2 linked regions of the Caenorhabditis elegans genome follow. The protein of the gene in region 1 interacts with the protein of each later gene in a pairwise test. Each region holds a gene or a part of one and is shown in the gene's direction. Other genes may lie near its edges.

The links. The genes of interacting proteins can lie anywhere in the genome.
Region 2: the proteins of lin-31 (region 1) and sma-3 interact in a two-hybrid assay, tested with the Caenorhabditis elegans proteins (one study listed by BioGRID).

Annotation. Positions count from the first base shown.
Region 1 is NC_003280.10:3,980,534-3,987,795, forward strand, and holds lin-31 (Protein lin-31), read left to right. Parts: upstream 1-2,015; 5' UTR 2,016-2,120; coding exon 2,121-2,287; intron 2,288-2,921; coding exon 2,922-3,003; intron 3,004-3,339; coding exon 3,340-3,420; intron 3,421-3,795; exon of another isoform or gene 3,796-3,987; intron 3,988-5,550; coding exon 5,551-5,934; 3' UTR 5,935-6,496; downstream 6,497-7,262. Other genes in the region: K10G6.5 (Serpentine receptor class gamma), read left to right, coding at 7,005-7,063. UniProt on the Caenorhabditis elegans protein: Lin-31 regulates how vulval precursor cells choose their fate. It helps specify three alternative cell fates in vulval development.
Region 2 is NC_003281.10:6,860,193-6,865,675, reverse strand, and holds sma-3 (Dwarfin sma-3), read left to right. Parts: upstream 1-1,707; 5' UTR 1,708-1,712; coding exon 1,713-1,851; intron 1,852-2,309; coding exon 2,310-2,401; intron 2,402-2,527; coding exon 2,528-2,602; intron 2,603-2,651; coding exon 2,652-2,740; intron 2,741-2,798; coding exon 2,799-2,863; intron 2,864-2,980; coding exon 2,981-3,066; intron 3,067-3,113; coding exon 3,114-3,209; intron 3,210-3,253; coding exon 3,254-3,312; intron 3,313-3,634; coding exon 3,635-3,887; intron 3,888-3,949; coding exon 3,950-4,030; intron 4,031-4,122; coding exon 4,123-4,203; intron 4,204-4,519; coding exon 4,520-4,585; 3' UTR 4,586-4,702; downstream 4,703-5,483. Other genes in the region: cra-1 (N-terminal acetyltransferase B complex subunit NAA25 homolog), read left to right, coding at 55-162. UniProt on the Caenorhabditis elegans protein: Involved in TGF-beta pathway. Plays a role in male tail tip morphogenesis.

The DNA of each region.
Region 1 (7,262 bases):
GGTGTGGCCAGCGGCGCCGCACCGTCTGCAGTCAACCGTGCGATCGAGCGGCACCTTTGATCCAAAAAATGCCGCGATTTTTGCCGCGCTCTCCCCAGGCAGGCAGTGGGGAAGAGATGTCCTTTATGAAGGAGATTGACGGGAGGAGGAGGAGGAGGAAACCGTTTTTGATTAACTGGTGGATGGCATTGCGGTTTTTATTCTTCCGTAAGGACAACTGGTTCTTTTTTCTTCTATTTTGATGTCTTCGTTTTGTCTTTACTGGTCTGTCTTCGAAGTTGCTGAGCTGATTTAGAACATTGTAAATTTGTAAGAAAATTGATTTTTATCAACATAATTACGAAGTATCACGTTTTACGTGTGTTTTTAGAGTTTTCAAGTAAAAAATTTGAAATCAGCGGTATTCAAAACCTAAACCTTTTCACGGGGACTCGATCCCTTGACCTTTTGCTCCAAAGGCATTGCTCTTACCCACTGAGCCATCCGTGGCGCCGTTTTCTTAGGGCGCCGTACCAAGTGGCGCAGTGGCTAAGAGGGACGACTTTGAAGCAAACGGTCATGAGTTCGAGCCCCCGGGAGTTGATTTAAATTTTCTGATTACGACTCGCTGCGCCCTAAAGGTCCCTTTAGCTCCCCATTGATCATTTATCCCAAATCTCATTTATAAAATCTTTGTCCCGAGACAAACCCAGTCATATTTAATTAGAATAATCACTACCCTTTTTTGATTCTCCCACATACAATTTTTTTAAACCGAGAGTACGGTAGGTAATAACAATTTATGGAGAAGAATATTAGGTGATGAGAATGGGTGTCTCTACTACTATTATATATATTACTTTATTCATTCATTAAATTATGGTGGTGGTGGTGACGATGAGAAACTTTACGGAATTTATGAGTGAAATTGTTCCAAAAAAGTGGTGAAGTGTCAAATGGAATATCTAACTGGGAGGGGGGTGAATAAGGACAATGGGGTTAGTGTACTCTCGAGAATATGGAATTAGAAAATGAGGAAAACTTGCAAAAAATGGAGCTTTGAAAAAAACTAGCTGAAAACATCCTTTCAGAGTTGGATTTTAAGATTTTAAGATTTCTCTAAATCATTGTAGTGAAATTTTCTACTGAGGTTTTCTAGTTTCTTTTTCATTTGGTATACATTTTTTTGTAGAAAATGTTCACCAAAACTTTTTTCGAATGCATAATAATTCAACATTTTCTATGCTTTTTAAATTATTTTTCTTGTTGCAGAAAACCCAAACTACCGTACTTTTTCACTAGGTGGTCTCCAAACTTTAATCCGTTATAACTCCACAAATATTTTTGATATAAAAAAGTTGTCAATTAACAAAATGTGCAAAATTTTATGACCAATATTTAATCAGTTGACAGTTTTTTGATATCTCAGGTAACCGCAGAGTTATGAGCGTTTGAAGTTGAAGCGTGCTCTAGGCTCTCCAGGTGACCCAAATATTTGAATATTTTAGTAATTCTCATGATTTTAAAATTGTCCAACAAAAATTCAAATATTGACACTAATTCTTCCCACCTAGACACCCCACCATTCCATGGACTAATCCCGTTAATTCGAACGCTTCCCCCCTACCGCTCTCGGTGTCACTCAAAATTTCAAACAAGTCGTGACAGTTCTCGGGTGGTCTGATACCAGTTTACCTACATTTTCAAAAAAAAACACAATCAACTCTTTCATCTTCAGTATTCCAGTGAATCCCGTCCCACACCAGATGCCCCAACTCAGCGGGGGCTGCGTGATACCCGGTCAGCAGCAGCACCAGCAACAGGAGTAACTGGTTCCTCCCAAATATAGGTTAGTGATGTGAATGTAAAACAAAGACTTATTTTTCTATTAGAAATGTGTTGTCATTTTCCTTATTACAAGTTGTTGCCTTTTTCCCTTACGGGCGGTCTCGGTAAGCGCTGTCTCCCCGTTGGCCAGCCCCGCCCACTCAACGCTCCGCCCTTCTTCTCCTTCTAAGGCTTGGCTTCTCAAACAAATTGACTTTTCCCAATCGCTAAGATTTCAATATATTTTGATATATTCCAAAACCTTCTTTATTAATTATCAATCCAAGCAAAACTCTATACATATTCCCTGAAAAATGCCAAGACCCGGAAAAGACTCGTACGATGAGCAGAAGCCACCGTACTCGTACATTTGGCTCACCTATATGGCTATTCAGGACTCTGACGATAAAATGCTCCCGCTCACGGAGATCTACAAATATATTATGGATCGGTTTCCGTTTTATAGGAAAAACACGCAGAGGTATGAGTTGGGGGTTTGAAAGTTTTTGAGCTCTAAGAAAATTTCTAGTTTTTCTAAAATTCCTGTGTTACTGAAACCCAAAAAAGGGGGGTTTTGTCAATTTTTCCAAGAATCCATTTTTTAAGGCCATTTTGTGAAAAATTTTCAAGTTAAATTTAACAAAAAAATCTGACATTGAAGTTTCCCTTTGTGACTGATTTTGCGTTTTAACAGAGCTTTGAAGATTGAAATGTTTTTTTTCTGAAATTTCGATATTTGTATTTCCATAGTTATTTTGCTTTGAAAAAATATACAAAATATGCTCAAAAACTCCAAATTTCATAGTTTTCAGTCCGGTTTATTTTGGGGTTTTTTCTCACTTTTATAGATTAGTTCTTGTAGTTTCCCCACTTTTATAAGAAAAATTATTGGGTTCAAAAATATGCAATTTTCAATGTTTTAAACAAAAAAAAGTCCTAGAAATATATTTTCGAAGTTTTCTCTTGATTTTTTTATAGTTAAAGTGACTTAAAAATATATGAAATTTCCTTTAAAACAAACAGAAAAATTCTCTAAAAAACTCAAAAAGTGTATTCATTAGTTTCAACATTTCAGAAAAAAAGATAAAAATCAGCTCAAAATGTAATGTTTTCAGGTGGCAAAACTCCCTGCGACACAACTTGTCATTCAACGACTGCTTCATCAAGATCCCAAGAAGAGCCGATCGTCCTGGGAAGGTAATATTTGTAATTTAAAAAAAAATAAAATTTCCGAAGTTATTAATTTAATTTTTAAAAACCTAAACAATTTGCAATTTTCAAAGATGAATTTCTAGCAAAAAAAAGTTACATACTATATATGGGTTTTTCCAAGAACTCGTTTGCTCTCTTTTTGTGCTCTTTTGCCCTCAATGAGCACATGCTCACTTTATAGAACCAACAAAACAACTACCGTAGTCCTTAGAGCTAAAGTAAATCTGCAACACTTTTTGCTCATTCTGCAATTTCCATGTTAAATCCTGTGATAATTTTTTTTCTAAATTTCCGAAAAAAAAACACCGTAAAAAATTCCAGGGCTCCTACTGGGCGGTGCACCCAAATGCCTCCGGAATGTTCGAGAACGGCAGCTGCTTACGGCGTCGGAAACGATTTCGGGTAAGTCTTCGGTTACTGTACTTATCAAATTGTGTAAATTAATGATCTTATCACTTCAAAGAGAAACGCAAAAATCTCCAACAAAAAAAAACGAAAAATTGATTTAGAGAGGGCGCGCGCGTGCTTCCCCCTTCACGATTTTGAGAGAGAAAGACAATTCTACAGTAATCCTCAAGGTTGGTCGATGACAGAAAAGGCGAGAAATTTGTTTTAAATACGATTGAGAGACTATTGGGGGAAGAGATTATGATGAACGGCTGCAGGATTGGATAAGACTTTGCAGATTTTGATGTGGGGTACTGTAGTTTAAAGGGAAGACTGTGAACAAATATTTAAGATAGTGTGGCTATGCGCAGGCTTAGGCTTAAATTTAGGTTTAGGCTTAGGCTTAGGCTTAGTCTTAGGCTCAGTCTCAGGGTTAGGTTTAGGCTTAGGCTCAGGTTCAGACTTAGGTTCAGGCTTAGCCTATTGCTTAGGCTTAGGCTTAGGCTTAGGCTTAGGCTCCGGCTTAGGATTAGGCTTAGGCTTAGGTTCAGGCTCAGGGTTAGGCTTAGGGTAAAGCTTAGGTTCTGGCTTAGGCTTAGACTTATGCTTAAGATTAGGCAATGAAGAGTACCTGTGTATTTGGTTCAGCCGAAATTGCGCAACTTTGAGAATGTACAAAATTCTTAAAAAATTGCAGAGTTGGAACTTTCAGAAATCGCAAATGCCTTCGGAGAATAGGAAGCTTCGGCACTGTGGTTTTGGTACTGACCTGCAATTTTCAAATCATTCTGCAAAGTTTTAAATTTGACAAAAATTTTTTATCAAAATGGTTTTGAAACGTTTATCTACATAGGGTAATTAACCTCGCCCCCCCCCCCCCCCCCCAAAATATTTTCAATTTTCACTCAATTTTACTCAATACAATTAAACAGTCATATTAAGATGAATTGACTTACGCGCGCGAAATACTCTCCTCCCGGTACTACCCAATAAAATGTGCCATCTGTTGCAATAGTTGTACTCCTACTACTTCTACGGGGGGGGGCAACAGATGCCTCCTATCCAATATTGTAGTGTTATGTTGAAATGAAAATGAGTGACTTGTGTCTGTGTGTGTATGATGAAGTAGTTAGAAAAGAGGACAAAGAAAAAGTAATAAGAAGTTGCAAGAGTTTGTTTGAGTGGGGTGAGCGGGGTTTGCACATAACTTTAAATTTTTTTCAACTATTCGGCTTGGGAACTCTACACCTATTGAAATATAAGGCTGTAGGCAAGCACTTAGGCATGTAGGTAGGAAGAACGGGGACATGACTATGCAAACAGGTATAATTCTGTTCCAATGTACTGTTCCAAATATCAAATCCTCCATACAGTCTGTCCTCCAACCACAAGCCCATTAAAATGACAGTCAGGCTGTCCAGCGGGGGGTCCCCCGCCGAAAAAGAAGGGCTGTCGCGGGGCGCTAGCTAATATGTGACACATATACATATAACTGTATCACTTGTACATGTACATAAGACGGATTGGAAACAAAAGTGATTCTCTTTGCCTATGGTTCATTCCATTTCGCGCAATGTTTTAGGTAGTACGGTAGATTAAATGGCCTTGGGGCGAGGAGGGGAGGACTAATCACTTGGAGGGGAAAGAAGAGGCAAGACAAAGATTGATGCGGTTTGAATTTAGATATTTAGGTGGTGGAGCGAGGTGTCAATGTTTGTCAGGTGCCTGATTTATTAGTATATGTACTTTAAGAGATGAATTATAGAAGTGCTGCAAATTTGAAAGGCATAACTGTAAGGTACCTTTTAAATTACTACCGGCATGTGGTGTCAAAGTGTTTCAGTTCGGTTTGATCTACAAAGAATGCTGGAGAAGAGACGCAGACTTTTTCGGGGCGGTGCTCGGGAAGAGCTGATTTACGTCGATTTACAGTTTTCCTCGTTTCTAGAATTTCGTAAATCGACACAAATCGGCTTTTTCCGCGCCCCGTCCTTTGGGTCCCGGGATGTCTCTGTCTCTTCAACTATCTACACTATCTGTACTGGTAATAGTGCATTTTCTAAAATTGAATCATAAAATTTTGCTGTAAAAGTTGAACGTTTTTTAAACACAGTTTTAAAAAATATTTAAAAAATTCAATTTCAGGCTCGCGGCGGCCAAGACGACGACGACGACGACTTCCACCACCCGGCTCCATCGAAAATCTCTCGCAAAAATCCTCTTCCACTGCTCCCGGAGCCCCCAATAACCCCACCACTCCTCTCCTCCCTTTTCCCAAATCTTCCACCATCACTCCCAAATTTCTGCCTGTTTCCTCCAGGCATGGATCCTACAAAATCGTTGCTTCTGAACCCTCTTTCCCTACTTTTAATGCCCCATTTCTTGAAAAATTCTTCGAATTTTGAGAGCTCGACTCCACACTCTGAAACATCGGAGATTTCTGGGTCGGGATCTTCATCGTCGAAGACTCCAACTCCTGAAGCTGGCTTCAACTCTTCTTTCAGTATTGAGTCGATTTTGAGCTCTTGAGCTTTTGAGCTCATCTCACTACCTTTTAATTATTAAAAAAATAATATTTTCATTAAATTGTGCCACACATTTTCCTGTTCATTTTCTGTCATCCTGTCTTTCTTTTCTTGTTTCTTAAGATTCGATTTTCTATTTCAATAATGTGCAAATGCGCTCTGTTAACCAACTAACCGACTAACCCAACCTAGCAGCCGACATTTCACGGGGCAAAACCTGTAAACTGTCGGCTGCTAAGCGGAGGACCTACTAACAACTGATATTATCAATGATAACATTCCACACATCCCAGCTCCCAATATTTCCATCGGTGTTAACTTTTTTCAGATTTTTTCTGAAGCTTAAACTTCAGAATGTCAATTCTGTTCTAAACCTAGTCCCTATACATTTGAAATTATTGATTTTCTAGATTTTTCTTCTTGTGATAAGTACTTCTTGTACTCTGTTCCCCAATATTTTTTGTATTGAATATAAAATATTTATTAATTTCCCAGGCTCTTTTTAGTCATAAACAACCAAATAACGTTTTTTTTTCTCCAAATAATGAAAAAGTTGCCAGTGGTTAGTTTGATTTTTTTTACTTGAAACATCAATTAAAAATGCCAATTTTTTCCAACGCTGCCGTAATTGTTGTTATCTTTGATATTTACCGTGACTCTCTCATATCAAATTTTTCCCGAAAGACTACAGAATATTCAAACAATACGAATGCAACGATATCGATGAGTCAATCGAAATTTGATAAATTGTTATGTCGAAATACTACGACTCCTCCTACAATTTGCGTATAAGAATAGCGTCCGAATTCTTATACATACGCTCAAAATTCTTTAAAAATGGATTCAAAAAAACCGTATAAATACTCTACTTATTGCTTTATTTTTCTCAATTGTATTCTCGTGGTGTTTCAACGGCATTTCGGTTTTTTTGCCACAATGGAATGTAGATGACACGGTAGATCAAGTTAGCCTTTTTCCGCTGGATTTACTGGTTAGATTTATCTTTATCTTTATTTCACTTGAATTAATCTTTAATTGAAGAACAACCCGCCATACTTCAGTGCGGTCGCATTGATGATGCTTCTTTCGTTTTGTGCAACTGTAGCTATCTCTATGTTTTACATTTTTTCTTTGTGAGTTTCTTTTTGAAATTTCTTGGCACGAGAACCAACTGAGTGGATATGCAAAAATCAGCTAGGCCCTAGGCAGGCAGATAATCTAGGCAGCCATTAACTCAAAGTAGACTGACAACGTTTAGGTAGGCAGGCATGTAGGTAAGTAGGCATGTCGATATGCAGGCACATTGGTAGGAATTCTAACTTGATTTCTCAC
Region 2 (5,483 bases), on another chromosome or scaffold:
TATTTATACATATATGTAGAGTTTAAACCTAATTTCAACACCTAAATATTTCAGGCTAAAGCTGCATTAGAAGGTATGCATAATCCAGTTGCTTCTCGCCTTCAAAGATCTTTTCTCAATACATGTGAAGATATGCACACAACTATCAAATTAAGATTCTAATTTTTTTGTTTCAGAATATTTAGACGTTGTTTTTTGTTCATCTAGGCTCCTTATTTTTTAGGCTCCTTATTTATTAATTTGTTCTTTTTTTTTTCAAATTTGTAGTAGCTCCCCGAATTGTTTGTCCCCATCTCTAAACATAATCATTTGAGTTCATCATCGTTGGATCTCTACAGATCAATCTTTCGCCTTTTCTTTCTTCCCCCGATGACGTTTTTCTTCCTCCAAAATACCGATTTCAACTGTTTTTATTTCGCCCTCTCACTATGTTCATGTTTTTGAAAGAATAAATTGCTCTCTGACTTTTTTTTTTTTTCTTGCTAACTGTGTCCCCAACCATCCTTTGTCCCCTGTTCCCTCTTCATTCTATTTCAACGAGCGGTCACCGATGTGACCAATAAGCGCAAAGGCACTAAGAAATTGGGAAAATTGAGAGAGGGTTGCGCCATGAAGAGACGCAAAGATTAACACAAGGGCACATTTACCTTTATTCTACCTACATCTATCCCCCAACACAACGGACACTATTTTATATCGGTTGCAGGGCGTGGGGAAAGGTCACCACCAACACTGCCCCAGTCTGATGTGATTCCATCCGGGTTTCGCAAATACTTTTTCAATTTCACGTTATTCAACATTTTTATGATAGAAATTCATTTTGAGCAAATGACATAAACAACATGAGATCATAGTGACAATGTTTTCAAATCCATATATTTTTTCGAGATGATTAAAGGTGGAGTAGTGCCAGTGGGGAAAGTGTTAAAAACTATTCCTATGGTGCCAAAAAGACCGAATATCATAATTAAACCTTTCAAAATTTTTTTTGAAATTTTTTATTTTATGTCAAAGAGTGGCAACTATTATATGTGTATTTAAACAAAATTCCCACTGGCGCTACAGTACTCTGCCTTTAAATGGAGTATTGCCAGTGGGAATTTCTACTCGAAAAGTCCATGAACGAATATCATAATAAAAACTTCGATTAAAAAAAAAAGTTTTGAATAGTTTTAGTAAAGTGACAAATTTTCGTGAAATCTGGAATTTTTTGGACAATTCACTACAATGTTGAAATAGAAATATTCGAAAAATAATTAAAATGTAATATATATGGAAATCTTCTCTGATCAGAAAAGAAAATAACATTTTGGCATTCTTCCAAAATGTGAGAACTTGCCACGTTTTGTCTGGAACATCCCTCATCCCAACTCAAATTGTTCAATTAAAAAGAACGGTGTCATGTCATGAAAAAAGAATTTAAAAGTGCAAACAAAAGAACGATTCATTTTTGTTTTCTTTGTGTTCATCTTCATTTTCTCAGTCTCTCTTTACCTCCTCCGCCTTCCCTGTTATCACTTATCATCTCATCATTTCCTTTACTCAAACATTCACTTTTAGCCTTGTTTCTCTCTTTCTCTCATTCATTTTCCGCTCAGTTTACCCACTTTTTTTGTTTCTGTTACCTGTTACTATTTCTTATCGCGCAAAACAAAAATCGATAATAATTATTGAATTAGTTTTTTTGAAATGAGAGCAAAATTTCAGTCAAAATGAACGGATTACTGCATATGCATGGTCCAGCTGTCAAAAAGCTTTTAGGTTGGAAAATTGGAGAAGACGAAGAAAAATGGTGTGAGAAGGCTGTTGAGGCATTGGTGAAAAAATTAAAAAAGAAAAATAATGGATGTGGTTAGTCAAATATATTTTTTAAAGGAATTTATAATAATTTAGGGAGGGACATTTCTGAAAAAGGGTCTCGACGCGCTTATGAAAGTTTCAAAACTATTTTTGTGATTACCTTTAAATTTACAGTAGAAATATTTGAGCCTCCTTCCTCTTAGTCTAATTTTTCTTACGATTTCTTATGATTTTCATTTTTTTTAACTTGCAAAAAACTATAAAAACAGTAAGAAGAAAGCACCAAAAAACAAACTTAACATTTTCGAATGTATTCGAAAATACTATTGGCGCGGCGAGACCCATCCGAATGTTAAGCATATTGTTACGGATACAATATAATATTATGATTAACATTTTCCGATGACCCTTTTCGATTCATGAATCAAAGTGCACCTTATTTATAAGTTAGATCATAAATATTAAAAAAAAAGAAATTCAACCGATCCATTTCAAATTCTAAATTCCAGGAACCCTCGAAGATCTGGAATGTGTTCTAGCAAACCCATGTACAAACTCAAGATGCATTACGATAGCAAAAAGTTTAGACGGTCGGTTACAGGTATGTGGCGCCGTTGTGGTTGCTTAACGTAAATTTGTTCGCTAATCAGACAACTGTGATAACTTTCAAAAATAACACTTTGGTTTGAAATAACGACTTTTTGACGCCAAACTTCCGGCTTTTCAGGTATCCCATAAGAAAGGTCTTCCACATGTGATTTACTGTCGAGTATGGCGGTGGCCGGATATAAGTTCTCCTCATGTAAGTTAATTGGATATATTAATTTGAAATTTTTGAATGTTCATTTCAGGAATTACGTTCAATTGATACATGCTCCTACCCATATGAATCTAGTTCCAAAACCATGTACATCTGCATTAATCCATATCACTATCAGAGGTTTGTTCTGAAAGTTGTTTAAAATTGGAATACATTTCAAAAATGAATAAAATTCCAGATTATCACGACCACAAGGCTTAAATTCTTCAATGCCATCACCACAACCAATATCATCTCCAAACAGTAAGCGTTGGATCTAAAAATTGTTTAAACATATCAGAATCTTCTATTAAAAAAAAACAACTAAACTCTCTTTAAAATTCTCTAGGGAAATTAAATGAAAAATACATAAAATTGCAGCTATCTGGCAGTCTAGTGGAAGCTCAACGGCATCTTGTGCAAGCTCGCCGAGCCCGTCGGTTTTTTCAGAAGATGGAGGAGAAGTGGTTAGTTTTTTTGCAATACACATTTTTGCAAAAATTATAATTTTCAGCAAGTTCACCAGCGACCTCCACCGTTCCGTCATCCCAAATCCTGGGCCCAAATTACGTATTTTGAGTTGAATTCGAGAGTTGGAGAAGTTTTTAAAGTGAGGTTTTGATTTTTCAAAACAAAACAAAATTGGAGTTTCAGCTAGTGAATCTGAGCATTACAGTCGACGGATATACTAATCCATCAAATTCAAATACAAGGTAAGATTTTGAAAGACATTCGAAAGTAGAAATAAATTGATTTTAAAAGTGAAAAAACCAAAAAATAATTAGTTTTTTTCGATTTCGGTCGGACTTCTAAAAAATGTTCTTACAAAATATAAATATTATTAGTTTGATTTAAATTTCCTCCATTAATACGGTATAATACATATCTTCTCTATAATATTATCATAGTTATTAAAAAGTGGACACTTCGAGTTAATTAACGTGAAAATTGCTGATTCGAAGCTTTAACTTCGAGAAGTTCTGAATAATAATAATTCTTACCGGTTTCTTTATTAAAATAATCCGGAAATTTCAGAATATGTCTTGGACAATTAACCAATGTGAATCGAAATGGAACAATTGAGAACACACGGATGCATATTGGAAAAGGAATTCAGCTTGATAATAAAGAAGATCAAATGCATATTATGATTACAAATAACTCTGATATGCCAGTTTTTGTGCAATCCAAAAATACGAATCTCATGATGAACATGCCACTGGTCAAAGTCTGCCGAATACCACCGCACAGTCAATTATGCGTTTTTGAGTTTAATTTATTTTTTCAAGTGAGGTTTTTAAAATTTAAAATTATTTTCATGCTATTCTTCAACAATTGTCAAAAATTAAGATGTTGGAACAGTCGTGCAACGATAGCGATGGATTGAATGAACTCTCCAAACACTGTTTTATTCGTATTTCTTTTGTAAAGGTTTGTTCTAAATGTTTGAATTCCTTGTAGATTTATACTTGTTAAATTTATCGTGAGATTTTCAAATGAAACTTCGATAAACAAATTTTCAGGGCTGGGGAGAAGATTATCCACGTCAAGACGTCACATCCACGCCTTGCTGGCTTGAACTTCGGCTCAATGTGCCACTGGCTGTAAGTTTTTTTGAGAAGGAATCGTATCTGGAAATTTATCAAATTATCAAAAATATTCTATAAAATTTTTGTACATTTTGTAAATATCATCCAAAATTAAGCCATATTTCTATTTTGGGTACTTTTCCGATTTCTGCCCCCCCAATTTTTTAAGTTCAATATTTCAATTTCAATTCTCACGTGAATGTTTATTTCAATACTAAATAACAAAAAAGTTAACGTTTCATTAATGAATATATCGAAAACATTTTGGGGGCAGAAATCGGAAAAGTACCCTATTTTGTTTGAGTTTTCTGTGAAAATGAAATATTTTCAGTATATCGATCAAAAAATGAAGCAAACTCCAAGGACGAACTTGATGGAACCAAATTCAATGACATAATGATTTGTTAAAAACGCTTTCCTTCTCGCAACCACCTGAATTCAGAATTTACCTACTCTAATGATGATACTTGTAACATGTTTTACATTTGCTGGTTCTTTTTAATTATGAAGATTTCTTTTAATGTTGTCATGTTCTTCGAACATTTACTTAACGAAATTCTCAGAATGATTTCGCAGTTTTTTTCGGTCACGACAAAAACGCCCCCTAATTCTTGGGATTTTTAATTGTTTACTCTGAAAATATGCTCGAAAATTTTGAGCAAATGATTATTTATAACAAATCCAATACGTAAAATTAACTATTAGATCCATTCTGGGAAACGTCCACAGACAGCTCCATAGTTCCAGAGATCGGATGCACCTTCATTTTCTGGATGCTTTACATAGTTGCAGAAGACGTCATTGATCAGCTCACTGCGAGCAGGGAATTGAGAAATTGAGAGTTGAAGGCAAGATTCAATGCTTCTGGAAATCATATTTAAAAAAAAACAACTTGCAACTGTAACTAACTTTTCAAAGATGGTCTGTCCTGGTTCAGTTGCAGACCAGCTTTTCCACATGAAAGTATTATCAGTATGCTTCTCATCAGTAGTGAAACCAGATGATGAATTCCTGCATTCTACAGTAGCCAAAACGGTTTTATCTGTAGTCTCGCAGTTCTTCAAACGATGTCCATCGACAATCATTGATCCACGATCCAATTTCTTTGCAGTAAGGAAATCACGAAGAACAGTGGAAAGTTTGGTACGCTCATCAAAATTTTCAAATGATGTCAGGATTGATCCATCTTTCTCACAAACTTTTTTGGCTTGATTTGGAGAGATGAGAGTATCAGACAAAATTGCCTGAAAAACATTATAGAAAAGAGGCAAGGGGCAGCAATTGAAAAATGTTTT